Linked DNA regions of Arabidopsis thaliana. The protein of the gene in region 2 interacts with the protein of the main gene of each other region in a pairwise test. Each region holds a gene or a part of one and is shown on either strand. Other genes may lie near its edges. The genes, in order: NF-YC11, NF-YB7, NF-YC6 and NF-YC7.

Region 1 (6,918 bases), on a different chromosome or scaffold from region 2:
TTCCCTCAAATCCATAAGCTCCGCAATCTCCAACTGATGTCTAGATCTCTCTAGCTTTCCTGCATCTTGACTATTCCAAATTCCGACGAACGTGTTATCTCGATCCGCGAGGAAATTACGGAGGACCTGCGGGACGCGTTCACAGTAACGGAGTTGGATGATGATACATCGATTACCAACGCATAGCTGCAGAGTATCCGCCGGAGGATCGGAGCTATAGAAAACCGGTGGAGAATCGGAGCGATAACTGTCCGGAGAAGAATCGGAACGATAACTAACCGGTGGAGAAGCAGGGTGGTAACCAGAGGGTGTCCACTGAACGCCGACTCCAACGACGAGAGGGTGAGAAGAGAGACGGTTGTGGAAGAAGACGTCGTGAATCCATTGGCCGATGACGGAAGGATCCGGCGTTACGGTGACGAAAAGCTCTTCTCCAAAGAAATCGACTGAGTACCTTTGCTGAGTAGCGTAAGATCCGATGGTTCTGATTGTCGGAGCCATTGATTTTGCCTTCAGTTTTTCAAGCAGAGATAATGATGAAACTGCTTTCTTCTCCTTTTGCAATCGTCGGAGGCTAGTTAAATTGTAGTACTGGTGCTCGCTATCACCATTGATCTTTTTGAAAATAAATGCAGTTAAATTTGGACGGTTGAGATGCAGTGTGACGTCATTAACCTACGCCAAACCTTAATGGTTATTACTGATTTGAATTCAAAAAGAATTTCTTATAAAGATCTCGAAATTTGAATTATGGAGAATATTTTGAGTATAGTTTATCAGATTACGTTAGCTAATGTTATATACTCCTAAAAATTAGTATTATCCTAAATCAAGATTAGGATTGATAAACGCATCTCAGTTGTAAACTCGTATCCTTGATCTTGCTTGAGGTTATATCCAGTTTAAAAATCGGAAATCATTTAACTGGGTGCAAAAACATTTGATTGACCAATTTGGTACGTCGTGATTTTTTTTGTCCCATGTCAAATTAAACAAAATTGATAATATAATTCATCAAAGCGTATTTGTTTTTAATCAAAACGTTAGATAGTCTTTTAATATCAATGCCTTTATTACAAACGTAGTCTACATGTACTAATTTTCCAGTCAACATTCATAGTCACAAAATACGATAACATGAAAACTTTCATGAATTAGAAGAAGACGTTGATTGATAAAGAGAGAAGAACAACAACAAATTCAAATCACAAGATTAGCAGCAACTTTTAAGTTCCAGAGACGTTCCTCAACAGCGAGCTTAAAGCAAACATACGACTCAATCGACGCCTGAAGTACCTGATAATGGTTAAGGTTATAAACGCCCCAATCGCTCATACAAATCGCCGGATCTAACCTCACTCCTACGCGACCCAAACGCTCCTTCACGATCTGTTCAAACGAACAAAAACACATCCTAGCCCCTCTCGAATCTCTCACGAACATCCTTATGTCCAGAAGCTTCCCGATCTCCACTCGATGCCTACATTTCTCGAGTTTTTTCTGGTCTTGGCCGTTCCAAACGCCGACGAAAGTCGTTTTGGGATCGGCAAGGAAAGTGCGGAGGACTTTTGGGAGACCGTAATTGTAACCTAGTTGGATGATGAGACAGCGACTACCGACGCACAACTGGAGAGTTTTTGGTGGTGGATCTGGATCGGAACTATCCGGTCTCCACTGAACACCGATTCCAACGACGAGAGGATGTACCGAGTGATTACGGTTGTAGGAGCGGACGCTACGAATCCAGCGGCGGATAACGGAAGCAGTCGGCGTAACGGTGACGATCAAGTCGTCTCCGAAAAAATCGACAAAGTGTTTTTGGTGAGTACGGAAACTTCTGATTCTTTTGATCGTCGGAGCCATTGATCTGTCTTCTTCTTCCTTTCTCTAAATTTTTGAGCGAGTGTTAGAAAGAGAAGCGGTTTCTTTTTCTTGTTATAGGGTACATTTTTGTTTCTAGTTATAATCACCGTCGATCTTTGTAGTTTTAATCGTACGGTTGACAATGGAGATGCATGTACTGTCACATCGTCAGGCCTATCATAGATGTATACGCAAAACATTTACTAATTACTGTATTTTACGGCTCTGAATTTTTATTTTTATTTCCATAAAGGTTTGATGAAGACATGGAATATAATACTTTTTTACGTACTTCTTTTTACTAAAATAGTTTATTCAGTTATTTGGGGGCTTAATTAGGTAGATAACCATAACCTTTTTTTGTGTGTTTTTTTCACGAACAATGATTCACTGATGTAAAATCATAATTACTGATGAAGTTAACTTTCAACGTATAACGCTATGACGCAATTACTCTTGATATTTTTTCCTATATATTGGTTTGACAAAATTTTGTAACTTTAAATATAACTTCTGAAAAAATAAAAAAGTTGTAAATATAAATTCCACAACATTTTGTTTGGAACTTTGGATACATAGGCCACTTTGTTTTATCACACTTTATAATAAAGGTGGTTTCTGTTTTTTTTTTCTAAAATTCGACAGTTTGGTTTATAAGTATCTAAATTCAACTTGAAGACAAATAATTCTAACTTTATTTTATTTAAATTGTGATAAAAAAAAGTAACCCAAAACATATTTTTTGGTTCAGGCATATGTGTTACAACTTACAAGGATGCATTATCCTCAAACAAAATCCAATAAATAAAAAATAGAGAAGGTGGATGAAGATCTAAGAATTAATACTGTCACGAGAAAACGTATACAATCCACTAATACATAGCCACGTGTATGGTTAGATCTTTTCAAACAATCCGATTATATTTTGTGCTCCGCCGTATATTTATAACTAACATTACTTAATTAAATAACCATGTCGTCGACCCATTTTTTTTCTTTGACCCAAAACTTTAATTTGATTATATATATTTAATTTTAATTTTTCCATCGCACGGAGATTGTAACAAGGAAACCGCCGTCGCCGGATCTGATAGTGCATATCCATGAAGTAGAAGACGAAGAAACTTACTTTCTGATCTTAGAACGGAGTATATGTACAGAAGATTCGCGTCCCTCAATTTTTGATCTCAAGGGTCGGGTTTACCTTTTTTTCCTTCTTATTTTTGGTGGCTTTGCGTTTTCTCATTCGACGATTTCTGGATTTGGGGATTTCAAAACCATGAGGAAGAAGCTCGATACTCGGTTCCCAGCTGTAAGTTTTTCGTCTCTAATTGATCATTTCTGAAATTGAAGTCCAATTTCTCGGAAATTACTTTGATCTGTTGTTTTTCAGATCGAATTTCCAACACTATTTGGGATTAGATTAGTGTTCTACGATGAAAATTAGATTAAGTATCTCATTTCTGGCGAATTAGTTTTAGCAAATGACCTAGTAGTCAATTTCACCCTAATTTTTGTTGTGCTTGTTATATAGCTATAGTAATATGTGTTATGAAGATCCGCTATGGAATGTTTCATGTAAATTAGAGAATTCGAGAATTTAGGTGACTAGTGCTCGAAACGTGTTCTTTATCAACAAACCAGTCAGCTATTGGTTAGATAGTGTTGATTGAAGCAGGGATGTTATACACGAATTGTTTTTTCATAGGCTTGGAACTTTTTGTAGAGCTTCCAATTTGGCTAGCTAGATTTTGTTTAGCTTTATTGAATAAAACGTCAGATGATTTCATAAGTTGGTTATTGTTGATGGTGGTTTATTTTGTTTGAGCTGAGGCTAGAATATTAGTTTTTCACAGATTTTGACTTTCCATTTAATTTGTTAATATATTTTTGTTTGTATAATCTGATTGGTGATTGTACAGAGCGTGCTTGGTGTTTCTCAGTTCTACCATTTGCTTTATAATTCGTTTAGTAGTCTGTAATTATTGCCACACACACTGTGTGATGGTTGCTGTTTCTTCATTTGATGCATATATTACAATTTTTCAGGCTCGTATTAAAAAGATTATGCAAGCTGATGAGGATGTTGGCAAGATAGCTTTGGCAGTGCCTGTCTTAGTCTGTAAGTCATCTTGCTATCATTGACTTCAGTTTGAAAAGAGAATTATTGGAAACTTTACCCTTTGGCTAAATTTCATGTTCTCTTATTACAGCAAAATCTTTGGAGTTGTTCTTGCAAGACCTTTGTGATCGTACATATGAAATTACCCTTGAAAGAGGTGCCAAGACTGTGAGCTCATTGCACCTGTAAGTAACAGATTGGTTTACCTTTATTTTTGCTTTAACTCTGCATGCTAGCATCGTCATTATCTAAAGAGCATGAAAGGTTTCACTTGAATGCATTTTAAATTCTAGAGCTTTCAGATGTTGTAATTATTGATATTGTGGTTTAAGAGTTAACATGATGTTGTTAAGCGGAATAGCTTCCAACTCATAGGGCCTATTTTCACTGCATCCAACACCGAGAGGATGTTGTTTACTGTTACAGAATTTTATACCACAAATTTGGGATAAAGTTCTTATTTTTGCTCATCCATGTTTATCAAAGTGCTTTGTTGTTTACAGAAAACATTGTGTGGAAAGATATAACGTGTTTGATTTTCTGAGGGAAGTTGTGAGTAAGGTGCCTGACTATGGCCATTCCCAAGGGCAAGGACATGGTGATGTTACCATGGATGATCGCAGCATCTCCAAGAGAAGGTTGGATGTTTGATCTCTTAGTTCCATATGTTCTAGTTCTTTGTTTATAGTCCGTGTCAAGCTGATGTGAGATGGTTTATCAAAACAGGAAGCCCATCAGCGATGAAGTGAATGACAGTGACGAGGAATATAAGAAAAGCAAAACGGTGAGCTCGTGTTCTTCTTGAAATATTATACTTCATCATTCATTTGGTGTCTATTCCCAGCTCCTTAGATTCATTGAATATATTGGTAATCACTGCAGCAAGAGATAGGGAGTGCTAAGACCAGTGGCAGGGGTGGTAGAGGAAGAGGGCGAGGAAGAGGTCGTGGTGGACGAGCTGCAAAAGCAGCCGAAAGAGAGGGTCTCAACCGCGAGATGGAAGTAGAAGCCGCCAATTCTGGACAGCCACCACCAGAAGACAATGTCAAGATGCATGCGTCAGAGTCATCACCACAAGAGGATGAGAAGAAAGGCATCGACGGCACAGCAGCATCGAACGAAGACACCAAGCAACACCTTCAAAGTCCCAAAGAAGGCATTGACTTTGATCTCAACGCTGAATCCCTCGACCTAAACGAGACCAAACTGGCACCAGCCACAGGCACAACCACAACCACAACTGCAGCAACAGACTCTGAGGAGTATTCGGGCTGGCCTATGATGGACATAAGCAAAATGGATCCAGCACAGCTTGCTAGTCTGGGTAAGAGGATAGACGAGGATGAGGAAGATTATGACGAAGAAGGCTAAGTCATAACAGCACTATAGGATATATAGAGTAGCAGCGTTTAGCAGTTTGTCTAGAAAATGCTTCTTCTGTCATCAAAATCTTCTCCTGTTTCCATTTATTGTATGAACCAAAGATTGCATGCACTCTATGAAACTTAATTTATTCTCCTGATTTGTTATTTAAGGTTTTAGAGTTTTACATCAGAAGTTAAAATATCTTACAGAGTAAGTAAACACTCAAAAGTACATAAACAAAGGAGAGGGACTAGTCATGGTGTTGCTCCGCGTGGTTGAGATGAAGAGCACCTTCATGGTTCTTGTGAACTTCCACCTTGAACTTTTCCTCTTTTTCTCCCCTCTTCAACTTCAGTAGCATGTTGTATTTTGCAGCCTCGCCGGTTACCTGTGTCCATGTTTTTAATATTAAGCTCATTAATCTTGTAATCACCAACTATTACAACTCAGACGTTAGTCCTCATACCAAGGAGAACCAATATGTTGCTTAAAGTCTTTTCTACTTCTAAAACTTCAACACCATTCGGTTTCACTGACACTTGATTTCGTTTATTTGCAATTTCTCAGATGAAATTCATGCAAAAACATTGTCAAAATCTGACAAGTTCTCTATTGAAATTCATTTTGTGCAATTAAGATCGAAGATAGAGTATATAGTAAATTAAAGCCATACCTCAGCTTTAGCATGCACAACCTCCAGAAGTTCATAAGGGAACAAGGAGTTAGACCTCTGCTGAATGGTCTTGACAGCCTGCTCAGCAACATGCTTCACTTCTGGATCATCTCCGGGAACTTCCCTCCATCCAGATTCATGTTCACCTGATCCACAAAACCCAATTTTCATAACCAAACTCTTTCCTAACCCACAATCTCTGACTTGCTACATATATATCCCCTGACATTATAATGTTCTTATCAGTAACTACTCAAATTCACACCTTGCTTGCAGCCAAGATCGGAGGAAGTGATAGCAGGGGCATCACTGGCAGGCTTGAACTCCTGTAACTCTTTAAAGTTCAACCACGGCTTGACCCACACTTTGGCTTCGTAAAGCTTCTTCTGTCCTGCCTCGAGAATCTCCAGAGTCAGGTGATGCAGTGTTCCGGCTACAACTTGTTCTTTCGCCTTCACAACTCTCGCAAACTCAAGAAGTGCATTCTACGACGACCAAAGACAGAACAAACCAAAAAATCAATCAATCAATCAATCCCACAACATGAACGCATTTCATCACCGAATAATATACACTCTCTAAGATCTGCTGGTAACTGAAATTGAGATCAATAGAGAAACTCCGGACAAAATTAGTCTAATCGTGTTCTGGATCAAGACTATAATAGCATAAAACACACATATCGAGACGAGAGATGTGAAAAAATCGAAGATGATGAGAGATTTGGAACCTCTTTCTTGTTGTGTTCATCGACAGCGAAACGAGCGAGGCTCTCAACCTCACCACTGTTCTGATTAGCAGGGACATCGCCAACACCTCCGACTAAAGCCATCTCTTCGTTGCAGAAGCCTAAATCACTGGCGATCAGAGAGGAAATGAAGAGGGATAGAGAGAA
Region 2 (5,592 bases):
CAAGATGCATTTTCGATATTAGGCGAAAATATGATTTTTGCGAGTGGAAGCCCATTCAAGAATGTGGAATTTGGTATGTATGAGGACCTCTGTATCATTTAGCATACGCCATTTTATATGAGGCTTTTTCAAATATTAGTACCTTTTCTTGTGGCAGGAAATGGTCATGTAGGACATTGCAACCAGGGAAACAACATGTATCTATTTCCAGGGTTGGTTCCTCTTGTTTATTGTCCGAAAGAATTGCATACATTCTTGAATTGATACATTAATTGTCATGAAATAAATTGATTTTCTAATCCTGTAAAATTTATTGTAGTATTGGACTTGGCACTCTTTTATCTGGTGCTCCCATTGTCTCCGACGGGATGCTTCAGGCCGCATCCGAGTGGTAAGCTCCTTTCTTTACCTTTTTCATTTATCATTCCTGATTTATTCTCAACTAAAGCTGAAGTGAGTACCATGATATATAACTACGGACCAAATTTAAATGATTATTAAGAATGTCCGCATATTTGGCTGATGTCACGAACTATAACATACCCCCCATCCACGAGACAGGAACCACAGTAGTTCGACATGTTCTCTCCAAATGGTATTCCCAATAGTAGGCCTTCGGTTGAGGTTTCATATTGTAGTTAGTGTAAAACTCATATTTTTAAGGAGACCATGAAAATAAACAAGTCCCGTAATTTATGAATGTGGAATCATGACATTGTTCTGCTAAACTACTGCAGCCTAGCAGCATACATGAGCGAAGAAGAAGTGCTAGAGGGGATTATATACCCTCCAATATCAAGGTAAGAGTAACACAATCAAAGAACATCCTTACTGTTACATAAGAAAATGTTTTGATATAGTTGCTACATTTGGCATGTGGAATTGAAATTTCAGGATACGAGACATAACAAAAAGAATAGCAGCTGCGGTGATTAAGGAAGCGATTGAGGAGGATTTGGTTGAAGGATATAGAGAAATGGACGCTCGAGAGATCCAAAAGCTGGATGAGGTAACAATTCAGCTAATGACTTGCTTTAATATAATCATAAATGATAGAAAAAGAAAAGATGTCAAAACAACATCCCATCTTTCACGTGTTTTGGACTCCTGATCATAAAATCGTATTCTACGAAGAATGTCGATCGGGTTTGATTATATGTAAAGAACAGAAGAGTGTTTACCTGATTTCTCACTTAGAGAAAATAAAGACTAAACCAGAAACTAAGCCTAAATGTTAGTTATGTTGACGCGGTCTTGTGTATTCCGCAGGAGGGGCTGATGGAGTATGTGGAAAACAACATGTGGAATCCAGAGTACCCGACTTTGGTCTACAAGGATGACTAAGTTTGGTTCCCAAAATGAATAAGTCTACTTTCTCTTATTTATATGTAAAAATTTATAATTGGGGTTGCTTTATACCCAATCAAATTCATAGCTACTGCTTTCTCTTGTTCTTATGTAAAAAAAAAAAAAATATATAATTGGGTTGTTTGTTATCCAATCAGATTCATAGCTTCCACTTTCTCTTATTTATATGTAAAAAAGAAGTTATATTCAATCAGATTCATAGCAGCAACATTTTACATACATCGTATTAGAAATGCATTTACTTTTATAACTTATAGTTTCAGGTCAAGATACTAAGAGTAGTGAGTGAGGAACAATTTGAAGTTCTTTAATTCAAGCAATCATCTTTATCAATCATAACATGAGTAAATGAATGAGAAACAATACACCATTCTCTTCCAATTAAGCTATTCTCTACTGGAAACCTTATAAGCTAGACCACTAACTCTCAAACCGTAGGTGGTAAGTATTCTAATCCAATTAGCAGCATGGAATTAGTTTCTACTGTTGTAAATCATGAGAGATTGCTATATTTGCTCGAGACGAACTAATCCGGAAAATATATGAAGACGAATTTCTGTTACACAAAACCATGGGTATACTGAAAATATCAAAATGTACGTGTCTAGTGTCTATATAGCAACAAATATATATAAGCATCAAGATGTACTCACAAAAGGTAAAGAAAAGCATATAATATGTGAAAAGAAAGAAGAAAAAAAGCAAATGTCTCTCTCACCAGTGAATTGAATCAATGTTATTATCATGCTGCTGCGGGAACTGTTTCTGCAATGATTTAGGAGAGAAAGCAATATTGGGAAAAGGTTGATGATCCACTGGTAGGAATGGAGAAGGATGATGATGAGAGATGTAACTAGTACATGACATGTTGTTATTGTTTTGGTCTTGTTCTTGAAACTGATAATTATGATGATTCTGTTGTTGAATCTGCTGTTGTTGTTGTCTTTGTTGTTGTTGTTTTGGGCTGTTAACTTTCTCTCCTTCGGTGTCTCTATATTTGCAGAGGTAGACCTTTAATGGAGCCACGTAGTCTTCGAAACCGAGAGTTGTGATAGCCCAAATGATATCATCTCCATTGATGGTCTTCCTCTTTTCTCTTTGACACTTGTCAGAAGCTTCACCAGTGACGAAACTAATGAACTCCGAGACACATTCTTGAACGGTTTCTTTAGCGTCTTTTGAGATCTTACCGTTACCGGGAAGAACTTTTTTCATGATCCTTCCGACATTCGCAATGGGAAGAAACCGGTCTTGTTCTTTGTTGTTGTTGTTGTTGTTGTTGGTCTTTGAAGAAGGGCTTCCTGGATTTGTTTCAGCTACTCCAGGAGACCCATGATCTTCTTCTGGGCTCTCCTCAGTCATATCTCTATCTCTTTGTTTTTTTTTGTGATTGATGTTAACCACATGTGATCAATCTGATTTTATGGTTAAGCTTAGTGCATGAAACTAGGCAACTTTTCTATTTATGGATACCTTGCCAACCAAATTTGGAACTCCATGCGACTCGCTCCTTTTTTTTTTTTTTTTTTTTTTTCTTTGTTATTTGCCAGATAATAAAGAAAAGTGTAAGAAAATAGCAATCATGTAACATATTGTCATCAAATAGTGTTTTCAATTTATTATTTTCCGTAGTATGTTTATTTAGTATGTAGACAACTATAAATTATCATGTCTCCATAATGCTTTGATTTATTGTATTATAGTAATTTCCTAAACTCTAGCCTGGTAAATATATATGGTGGTTATTTATCCGAGAATATTACACGTAAAGGCACTATTTTGAAACTTTGGCCACAAATAGGCACTTTAAAAGCATTAGTCACTTTAACTCAGTAGAATTACCCCTTTACCCTGAAATCGTTAGTTTAACAAAACCTAACAAATTTAGCCGGTTTTCGGTTTAATTTTTTAATCTCAATCTCTAAACTAAAACCAATTTGTGAGAAACCTCTTTTTCTCACCCAATCCTTCACGACGATTTTACAGTTTCATTTATCTGGGCAGTTAAAATCATCACAACGACGATAACATCATCTCGACTCCGGCGATCATCCCAACGAGTTTTCTACCGGCAAAGTCATTTCCTCGTCCCTCTCCCGTCGTTATCGTCAACAAAGCTTTCAATCGGCCGACATTAATTCGTCCTCTCCCGTCGTCGTCGTCAACACTTGTTCTCCCGTCATGGTCTTCATTTTCTTGTCTCTCAATCGATTCGTCGTCTCCGGCGTGTGCTAGTAACTTCTACTCGGTCCTCAAATGCAAGGTATTAATCTTCTCCAATCATTTTATTTGCTCTAATTATTCAACCGTGTGCTAATTTTATTTATAATATCCAACATTGTGAAGAGCTAATAGGTGAAGACATGAATGCTACGTTAGGTGATATTTCAAAAATGTTAATCACAAGACCTTATCTTCTTACCACAGACTTCGGCTTGCTTATCTCCTCATTGTTGACGGTGTCCTCGTATCCTCAAACCAACCTATTACGTCTACATTAAAATATGTAGAGATGTTGGCAGATTTGGAGAAGTTCCTTAACTGACTGAGGTCTACGTAACTGACTGTCTATACACATGTGGATAAATGGTCAAAGAAACATGGATAATATACTTTGGATTGACGTTTATTGTTCATGTATAAACTTATGTATTAGTATGAAACTATCATGTGAGTCTTTAGATGATCATGGACTGGACTGCTTGGACAATCATTAATGGACAAATATGTCTTTGATTTGCTGCGAATATGTTTATAGCTCGATAAAATTGTATCAACATGTCTATATACATGTGGATAAATGGTCAAAGAAACATGGATAATGTACTTTGGATTGATGTTTATTTGTAAATCTTAATATAAATGTCATCCAGTCATAGTGAATTATCCAATCAGACAAACGAATTAATACAGTTATGTTGTGGATGGATTCATATGGATACATTAACAATTATCTTTATCTTTCAACATGAAAAGCGTTTGATATGGATACATTAACCATATCGATAATCTTATCTCTATATTGCTGTTGAATGTTTTAGTGGTTTGTATCATATTATTTGTTTGTTCCATCCATAACAACATTTTTTCAAGTGCATCTAACATTTGATATCAGTTAACAATGCGAAGAAAAATAAATAATTTTGTGTATTTTGAACTATTGTTTATTTGGTAAATCATTCTAGCTAATTATGTTTACAAATACGTTAAAACTTAATATAAATGTCATCCAGTGATAATGAATTATCCAATCAGACAAACGAATTAATACATTTATATTGTGGATGGATTCTTATGGATACATTATCAATTATCTTTCTCTTTTACCATGAAAGACAAATCTAAAATTCCTTCTACCGGAAATATTGAGATACTGTTGTATAGCGGGAATATTCCCACCATCAGGTTTTAAACTATATTGTTTACAATATGATCAAAAAAAAAAAACATATGCACACTTAGAGACAAAGAGAAGCTCGTCAGCTCTCCCGTCTCAACCAGCTCGTCAGCTCACCCGTCTGAAGCATCTCGTCAGCCGGTCCGTCTCAAGTAGCTCATCAGATCGCCCGTCTCAAGCAGCTCGTCAGCTCACCCATCCGAAGTATCTCGCCAGCCGGCCCGTCTCAAGTAGCTTATAAGCTCGCCCGTCTCAAGCAGCTCGTCAGCTCACCCGTCCGAAGTATCTCGCCAGCCGGCCCGTCTCAAGTAGCTTATCAGCTCGCCCGTCTCAAGCAGCTCGTCAGCTCACCCGTCCGAAGTACCTCGTTTGCCCATCCATCTTGAGTAGCTCGTTTACTCGTCCGTCCGAAGTGTCTCGCCGACTTGCCCGCCCAAAGTAACTAACCTACTCGCACGTCTCGAGAAGCCATTCAACTCGTCACTTATCCGCCGGATCATCCCTAAAACTGCCTAACTCGACATACGACCTTCCTCCAGTAATGGCCTAGCTCGTTTATCGCGATATGAACTACGTGTGGCTTGATCCCTTTCTAAGGGTACGTAGGCAGCCTTTTGCAGTTTATCTTTTATTGGACTTGATATGTTGGATACTAGTTTTTTTGCCGAAACAATTTCTTAAATTTTTTCCATACGAGTTTCTTGTTTAATGGTGCTCAAGTCAAACCTCCAGCACCAACCTGTAGTAAATGCAGTTATCGATGGAGATGATATCATTTACAGAGACTACGTGGATATCAGTATCGCTGTTGGTACCCTCCACTCTAG
Region 3 (3,120 bases), on a different chromosome or scaffold from region 2:
AGATTACATTCTAGAGGCAACAAGATCCAGAGATCTAGCAAAAAAAACTTATTTTGAAACCTGAATCTATTTTAAAAATTTTCCAACTCATTTTTCGTTCTTATTCTTTGTTTTCCAACGGAATTTGGCGCACAAACGATTTATTTGAATTTTGTCTTTCAAGAAATTTTAGCGCGGTTTTAGCGAACTCTTATGAGGAAGTTATTAATTGAATTATTTTTGTTTTTGTTTTTTCTAATTATCATTTCTATATATTTCTCTAACTCTCGAGTAAATAATTCATTTTGTATACTTGTTTTTGTTTTTAATTACATTGTTTAAAACTTATTTACAATTACTTACCTTTAAGAAATAATTGTTATTTCTAAATAAACAAAAAGTAGTGTCGATTTAGTATCTTATATTTAGTTTAAAATAAATCATAAATTCAACTAATACTCATTGTCACTAATCCAATATATATTATAGTATATGAAAACATGAAATAAAATTCTTATATCATATTTTTTTAATTTTTATACTTAAATAAAATCTAAAATTTCATTAAAATTCTTTTGATTTTAAGTTATGCTTAAGTTTATACGATTTATAAAACTAAAATTAGATAAGTTATTTATATATCAGTTTGATATACTTTGTACCTAATTAAACTAAAATTATTTAATTAATTAAGTTAAAACATGTCAAATTTTATATAAGAACGAATTAATGAATAATTTTAAATTCTTAAATACATTAAATTAAATAATTAGTGTAATTAATATGTTGTTATGACATTGTCACTCTCTCTAGTATTGATGTATCGGAAAGATGGAAAAAGTTGGACAACTTTCATATATATGATTCTCATGATTCGATACTTGGTTGGTTCACCAGATCGTGTGTCAAAGACGATTTTTATGGGACTCTTTGGGTTTTAAGATTGTCAAATGTTAACACTAAACCCAAATAGAAGAAATGTCCGAATTGTGGGTTAACCGGTAGTATTGTACGGTCCGGGTTGGATATAAAAACATTGATTAATTGTTTTATAACATGGAATATCATCAACATAATAAAAAGTTATAAAATAATTTATGAAAAATTAAGTATTACTTTATTATATTTCAATTTTACATATTACAAAAACTAAATATTACTTTTATGGGTGGCTACACTAAGATTTACTTCCTTGTATTATTTATCATTTAGAAAAAAAAAATCTTTGCCAAAAAAAAAAAGAAAAAATGTTTAATGTTTGGATTTCTTACCCAAAAAAAGGAAAGAAAAAATATTTAATGTGTGGATTTCTTACCCAAAACGGTGTCAAAATTCAATATTTGTAGCACTATACAACTAGAAAAAATTAAATGTATGAAATCTTTGCAAAAAATTGTTGACTTTCAATTTCGTTTCATTATACGAAAATAACTTCTTAACAACATTTTTTACCTTTCAATTTTATAGGGAATCAGATATCTTTAGCTTTCTCATCTTAATATGGATTAAAAAAAAATCTTTCACCATTTTCTTTTTCATTTTAATAATAATAACCAGTCACACACATAAGTCACAATTATAATTATTCTCACAAAAAAAGCCATAATAATAAAGAAAATATTATATGTGTAAAGATTCACATTTGACTGCTTTAAAGCCATCTACGCTTTTAGGTTTCCTTTAAATATATGCCAGCCAAACCCTCCGATAAAAATCTCACTTCCAACATCCAAATCCCTAGAAATTGTAAATGGCTGAGAACAACAACAACAACGGCGACAACATGAACAACGACAACCACCAGCAACCACCGTCGTACTCGCAGCTGCCGCCGATGGCATCATCCAACCCTCAGTTACGTAATTACTGGATTGAGCAGATGGAAACCGTCTCGGATTTCAAAAACCGTCAGCTTCCATTGGCTCGAATTAAGAAGATCATGAAGGCTGATCCAGATGTGCACATGGTCTCCGCAGAGGCTCCGATCATCTTCGCAAAGGCTTGCGAAATGTTCATCGTTGATCTCACGATGCGGTCGTGGCTCAAAGCCGAGGAGAACAAACGCCACACGCTTCAGAAATCGGATATCTCCAACGCAGTGGCTAGCTCTTTCACCTACGATTTCCTTCTTGATGTTGTCCCTAAGGACGAGTCTATCGCCACCGCTGATCCTGGCTTTGTGGCTATGCCACATCCTGACGGTGGAGGAGTACCGCAATATTATTATCCACCGGGAGTGGTGATGGGAACTCCTATGGTTGGTAGTGGAATGTACGCGCCATCGCAGGCGTGGCCAGCAGCGGCTGGTGACGGGGAGGATGATGCTGAGGATAATGGAGGAAACGGCGGCGGAAATTGAAGTGTAGATTTAGGGTTTGTAACCGCCTATGTGGGAAATTTGAAATTTGGTGGTGTTTATTAGGGTTCTTCAATTCGTCGGATTTGCTTTCATGTAAACAATGTGTGGAAGGCAAATTGTTTTTTTTAGTAGACTTGTAAGCGCTTTTCTGAGAATTTGATTGTCTTTTGGAGTTAGTCTCTTACATAATATCTTGTTCTAAAATCCTCCGCCTAACACCGGTTACTCTCCGTTTAATCGCTAAGTCCATCATATCCGGTTACTCTCCGCTTAATCGTTAAGTCCATTCTATCCATGATTAATGACTAATCCCTTAAAAAATCACTCATTCGATTACTCTCCTTCTAATCCGATTACAAATTAATTATTTTTTTAAAGTAATATTAAGGGCCCCATTTCATGTAAAAGTTTTTTTCTCCAAATATATTGGGCCATTTATTAGATATTTTCAGTCAAATTAATTTTTTTATAAAATATGGCCTTTTTAAAAAATAATTCAGAAAAAATCATGGAATCATGGGCTACTGCCCTTTTGCCCATCCTATTTGGGCCGAGCTTGTTATCATCAACCTCGACCCAATGGGTGAGTCGTAAGGTGTGAGGGTCAAGACTTTTTTTATTTTTGAAGTAAAATTGATATATAAAAAACCCATATTTTATAAAACAACTTATAATTAGCCCAAAATTATAGTTCAAAACCCCATTTTTTGTTTTAAAAATAATAAGCCTGATTTTGTTTTTTAAATAAAGCTTTTTATAGCAAAAACAAATTGGGTAACCTT
Region 4 (4,551 bases), on a different chromosome or scaffold from region 2:
TTACTCTCCTTCTAATCCGATTACAAATTAATTATTTTTTTAAAGTAATATTAAGGGCCCCATTTCATGTAAAAGTTTTTTTCTCCAAATATATTGGGCCATTTATTAGATATTTTCAGTCAAATTAATTTTTTTATAAAATATGGCCTTTTTAAAAAATAATTCAGAAAAAATCATGGAATCATGGGCTACTGCCCTTTTGCCCATCCTATTTGGGCCGAGCTTGTTATCATCAACCTCGACCCAATGGGTGAGTCGTAAGGTGTGAGGGTCAAGACTTTTTTTATTTTTGAAGTAAAATTGATATATAAAAAACCCATATTTTATAAAACAACTTATAATTAGCCCAAAATTATAGTTCAAAACCCCATTTTTTGTTTTAAAAATAATAAGCCTGATTTTGTTTTTTAAATAAAGCTTTTTATAGCAAAAACAAATTGGGTAACCTTACATCTCTAATTTTATTTGGGATGGGGCTGATTATCATCACAAGGACTATGCATAAATGTTTTCAATAACTCCATATCAATAAAAAATAATCTGGTTTGATTGCTTTTATCCAGCTAACTAAATTTCACACCAAATGTTGAACTCATCATTGTTTTTTCTAGATTTTGCATGATTCGTTTGTTCAAGTAATCAGGTTCGACTTTCGATTAAAGCCTAAAAATCTCATGAAACAAAGGTTTTAGGCAAAGAACTCTCTATATAAATATATAGGCGCATCATTTCATAAAAAGTTTATTTCCGAAAAGTTGATGGATATCCGCTTTAGGTGACCAGTTCGATCCTAATTTCCTAACTTTTGTAATTTCTTTTTAACAGGTGACGGCAAATTATGTTTGGACCGGCCCTAAAAGTAGTAATTATTTCCTTTAAAAATAATATCTAAGGTTAAGAGAAACATATTCTTTACATAAACAATATCTTTGGATGTTTAAATTTTAAGCTTGATATTTTAACGAACTTTGGCGCGAAAACCATCTATTCAAATATCTCTTTCCACCACTTGTGTTTTCATTGATTTGGAATTGTTATCTGCATTGAGATATCTTTGAATGATGAAACATGTTCCTTTGCTACCTTTAAATTAATGCTTCAGATTAGATCGGTCTCATGCACAAGACAAATTGACATACATATTTGCATCTTTGAAATGCTGACAATATTTGCAATCTCCTAAGAATGATAACACAAAGAAGCAGGCCAAGCATTGGATTTTAAGTACACAACTATAGCTTTTTCACTCGAAGCCAAAGTCACCTTATCTATGCGGAAACTCCACATACTTTCCATTGCGCATTAGAAAATTCTCAGTTTGGTATCTTCCCACTAATTACCACTCCAAGGCACCACTTATAGTTTTCTTCTTTGACTAATCAGATCTTGGGCACAAAACCATTGACGACATTCCTCATATGCTAGCTTTCACATACTTCCCTAAATTGGTTAGTATAAAATCCACCTTATCTAAAGCTATAGTTGACTAATAGCTTTCACCTTATCTAAATTTTATAAGTTTTAAAATTTATAAAATCCAAAAAGTATTGGTTAACAAAAATTTATAATGAATAGAAAGTGAGGTTTTGTATTTTGGGATTTCACATATATTAGTAAATATTGTATAACACAAAACAAAATATTAATAAAAAATAAATTTTATTTTTGAGAAAATAGTTGGGCTGATTTCGTAGCCCACTTAATCAGCCTTTAAATATGGAAACCCTAGCCTAGAAAGTGAACAAGAAAAACGTAAAGATCAAAATGGAAGAGAACAACGGCAACAACAACCACTACCTGCCGCAACCATCGTCTTCCCAACTGCCGCCGCCACCATTGTATTATCAATCAATGCCGTTGCCGTCATATTCACTGCCGCTGCCGTACTCACCGCAGATGCGGAATTATTGGATTGCGCAGATGGGAAACGCAACTGATGTTAAGCATCATGCGTTTCCACTAACCAGGATAAAGAAAATCATGAAGTCCAACCCGGAAGTGAACATGGTCACTGCAGAGGCTCCGGTCCTTATATCGAAGGCCTGTGAGATGCTCATTCTTGATCTCACAATGCGATCGTGGCTTCATACCGTGGAGGGCGGTCGCCAAACTCTCAAGAGATCCGATACGCTCACGAGATCCGATATCTCCGCCGCAACGACTCGTAGTTTCAAATTTACCTTCCTTGGCGACGTTGTCCCAAGAGACCCTTCCGTCGTTACCGATGATCCCGTGCTACATCCGGACGGTGAAGTACTTCCTCCGGGAACGGTGATAGGATATCCGGTGTTTGATTGTAATGGTGTGTACGCGTCACCGCCACAGATGCAGGAGTGGCCGGCGGTGCCTGGTGACGGAGAGGAGGCAGCTGGGGAAATTGGAGGAAGCAGCGGCGGTAATTGAAAAGTGTTGATTGGGTTTTAGGGTTGTAATGCTTTTGTGAGAATTTGTATCTCTATCGAGTCATGTTTGTTGTTGTTGTTGTTATTATGTTTTGCTTTCGTTAATGTCATGTGTTCTGTTGTTGTTGGTGTTATGTGTAGTCTTCCATGTGAAATATCACATAGAAGACTAAACATAACATCAACAACACCAAAACACATGGCATTAACGAAAGCAAATGGAAGACAATGGAATTTTAGTTAACTCTTATTTTCTTCTTTGCTTTAGATTAGTTTATGCCAAAGAATCACCAAAATATTCGCAGTTCATTACGAAAAAACACAATGAACTAGGCATAAATGTCAATTACCATAAAAAACATATACTACTAGCTCCATCTTCTAGTTATCCTTTATGAAAGTAGAAAATCCCCATGGCTCATGGTATTAATTTTGTATACGTTGTGAATATGTAGGCATCATGATCTTAGGATCTAGTAAGAGATCTTTTTGAATCCCGAATCTATGTTCGTAAATTTTCCAGCATTTTGATTTTAAAATGGATTTTCGCGTGAAAGTTATACTCCGGTTTTATTATGCAACGAAATTTTACTTGCAAACCGCTGATATATTATTCCAGTTTTCTCAATTTGGCATGAGTTGTTTCTCACATAGTATATTTCGTTTTCAAGATATGAACATCTAATGTGTAAAAGATCTATTGAAAATATAGTTGTGGAACACCTTGAAAATTGTTGTGGATAACAAGTGTTCGTAAAACAAACATTGTTCGTAACGACCAATTAGGAGCCACATAATAAAACCAAATATTTTCACTTCGTAATCATTAGATAAAAAAAAATCTTTGAATATTTACTTTTTTTTTAAGCAATAAATCTTTCTTCTTATGAAAAGATAGAAAACAATCTAGACAATTTAATTTTTAGAAGCAATAAATCCTTCTGTTTATGAAAAGGGTCCTCACTCTTATATATATACTTGGTTTCATTTTCTTTTTACTTTAAATGGCTACATTAAAGAGTAGCCAGAAAACATAAATAAAAACTCCAAAACACTACTTTCTCGGTTTTATATTATAAGTTGTTTTAGCCAAATTATTTTGATTCTTAACATAAGATGTTTTAGACAAATAATTCAAATTTCTATGCAAGCGTAGAATTTATATACTTTTATGACTATATATATATTATGCAGTAACGAATTTCATTGGCCAAACTCACTTTAATTAACTAAATATTAAATTATGTTTTTAATTTAGAAAAAATATATAAAAAGATAAATTAATTATTTAAACTTTGTGTTTAAACATCATATTTTTTTAAACAATGGGAGTACCATAGTTACCGTTAATTTAGAGAGAAAAAGTTCTTATTTAAAACTTCAAATGTATTCGTTTTATGAGTTTCTAAAAAAACCAACTAAAGATTTTGAGTATGGAGGAAACAACGGCAAAAACTGAAGTGTGGTTTGTAATTTAAGATTTCTAACCGCTTTCGTGAGAATTTGAATTACTTTTCAAGTTATGTTTTTGAATTTAAAGTGTGTAATGTTAGGACCTAAAGACTTGAATTTCCAAATATATTCAAAAAAAAAAATGTTATGATTTTTATTGTGAAAATGGAGAGTGAAGGCAAGTTGTTAGGCATAAAATATGTAGAACAAACAATATGTATTCCTTAAAAAAGGATAAACACTTTGAAGATTTGAAGAAACGAATTTTGGATGCTTCTAGATTTTCAGAATGGATAAAATTCAAAAGAATATGCAACACTCAATTCATATCTCAAAGAGAATGAGGAAAAACTGAGGTATTCTCTATGTTAAGATAAGGAGGCAATAAAGGAGGAAGAGACATAAAATCCTAGAAAAACAATATTGTTCAACAATTGAAATTTTTTCAAACAATCATTCAAGACCTACAGATACAGTATAAATTTATTCTATTGTCAGAAACATGACCATCTAGTAGTATTAGTAGATGAATATGCATATGGCGATCATTGCTTTGATGATCTGAATAAAATCACACTCTTTCTGTTAGTTTCAAATGCTGGAGACTTAAGTTTCTTTACAAATAGATAAATTATCTACTACATCGTTGAATAGAAGTTGAGGAGTAACCAAAACATTTAGTTGAGGAAGTTGTAAC

Evidence for each region.
Region 1: the proteins of NF-YB7 (region 2) and NF-YC11 interact in a two-hybrid assay, tested with the Arabidopsis thaliana proteins (2 studies listed by BioGRID).
Region 3: the proteins of NF-YB7 (region 2) and NF-YC6 interact in a two-hybrid assay, tested with the Arabidopsis thaliana proteins (2 studies listed by BioGRID).
Region 4: the proteins of NF-YB7 (region 2) and NF-YC7 interact in binary tests that used the Arabidopsis thaliana proteins (3 or more experiments, as listed by UniProt).

The regions. Positions count from the first base shown.
Region 1 is NC_003074.8:3,954,923-3,961,840, forward strand, and holds NF-YC11 (nuclear factor Y, subunit C11), read left to right. Parts: upstream 1-2,840; 5' UTR 2,841-3,142; coding exon 3,143-3,175; intron 3,176-3,912; coding exon 3,913-3,985; intron 3,986-4,076; coding exon 4,077-4,170; intron 4,171-4,488; coding exon 4,489-4,623; intron 4,624-4,711; coding exon 4,712-4,769; intron 4,770-4,867; coding exon 4,868-5,356; 3' UTR 5,357-5,550; downstream 5,551-6,918. Other genes in the region: AT3G12460 (Polynucleotidyl transferase, ribonuclease H-like superfamily protein), read right to left, coding at 1-501; AT3G12470 (Polynucleotidyl transferase, ribonuclease H-like superfamily protein), read right to left, coding at 1,201-1,863; CYSB (cystatin B), read right to left, coding at 5,601-5,738, 6,024-6,169, 6,289-6,508, 6,754-6,918.
Region 2 is NC_003071.7:5,653,760-5,659,351, forward strand, and holds NF-YB7 (nuclear factor Y, subunit B7), read right to left. Parts: upstream 2,760-5,592; 5' UTR 2,731-2,759; coding exon 2,083-2,730; 3' UTR 1,632-2,082; downstream 1-1,631. Other genes in the region: NAD-ME1 (NAD-dependent malic enzyme 1), read left to right, coding at 1-73, 158-212, 320-391, 738-800, 895-1,009, 1,270-1,344.
Region 3 is NC_003076.8:20,557,074-20,560,193, reverse strand, and holds NF-YC6 (nuclear factor Y, subunit C6), read left to right. Parts: upstream 1-1,706; 5' UTR 1,707-1,729; coding exon 1,730-2,338; 3' UTR 2,339-2,620; downstream 2,621-3,120. UniProt on the Arabidopsis thaliana protein: Stimulates the transcription of various genes by recognizing and binding to a CCAAT motif in promoters.
Region 4 is NC_003076.8:20,552,972-20,557,522, reverse strand, and holds NF-YC7 (nuclear factor Y, subunit C7), read left to right. Parts: upstream 1-1,764; coding exon 1,765-2,403; downstream 2,404-4,551. UniProt on the Arabidopsis thaliana protein: Stimulates the transcription of various genes by recognizing and binding to a CCAAT motif in promoters.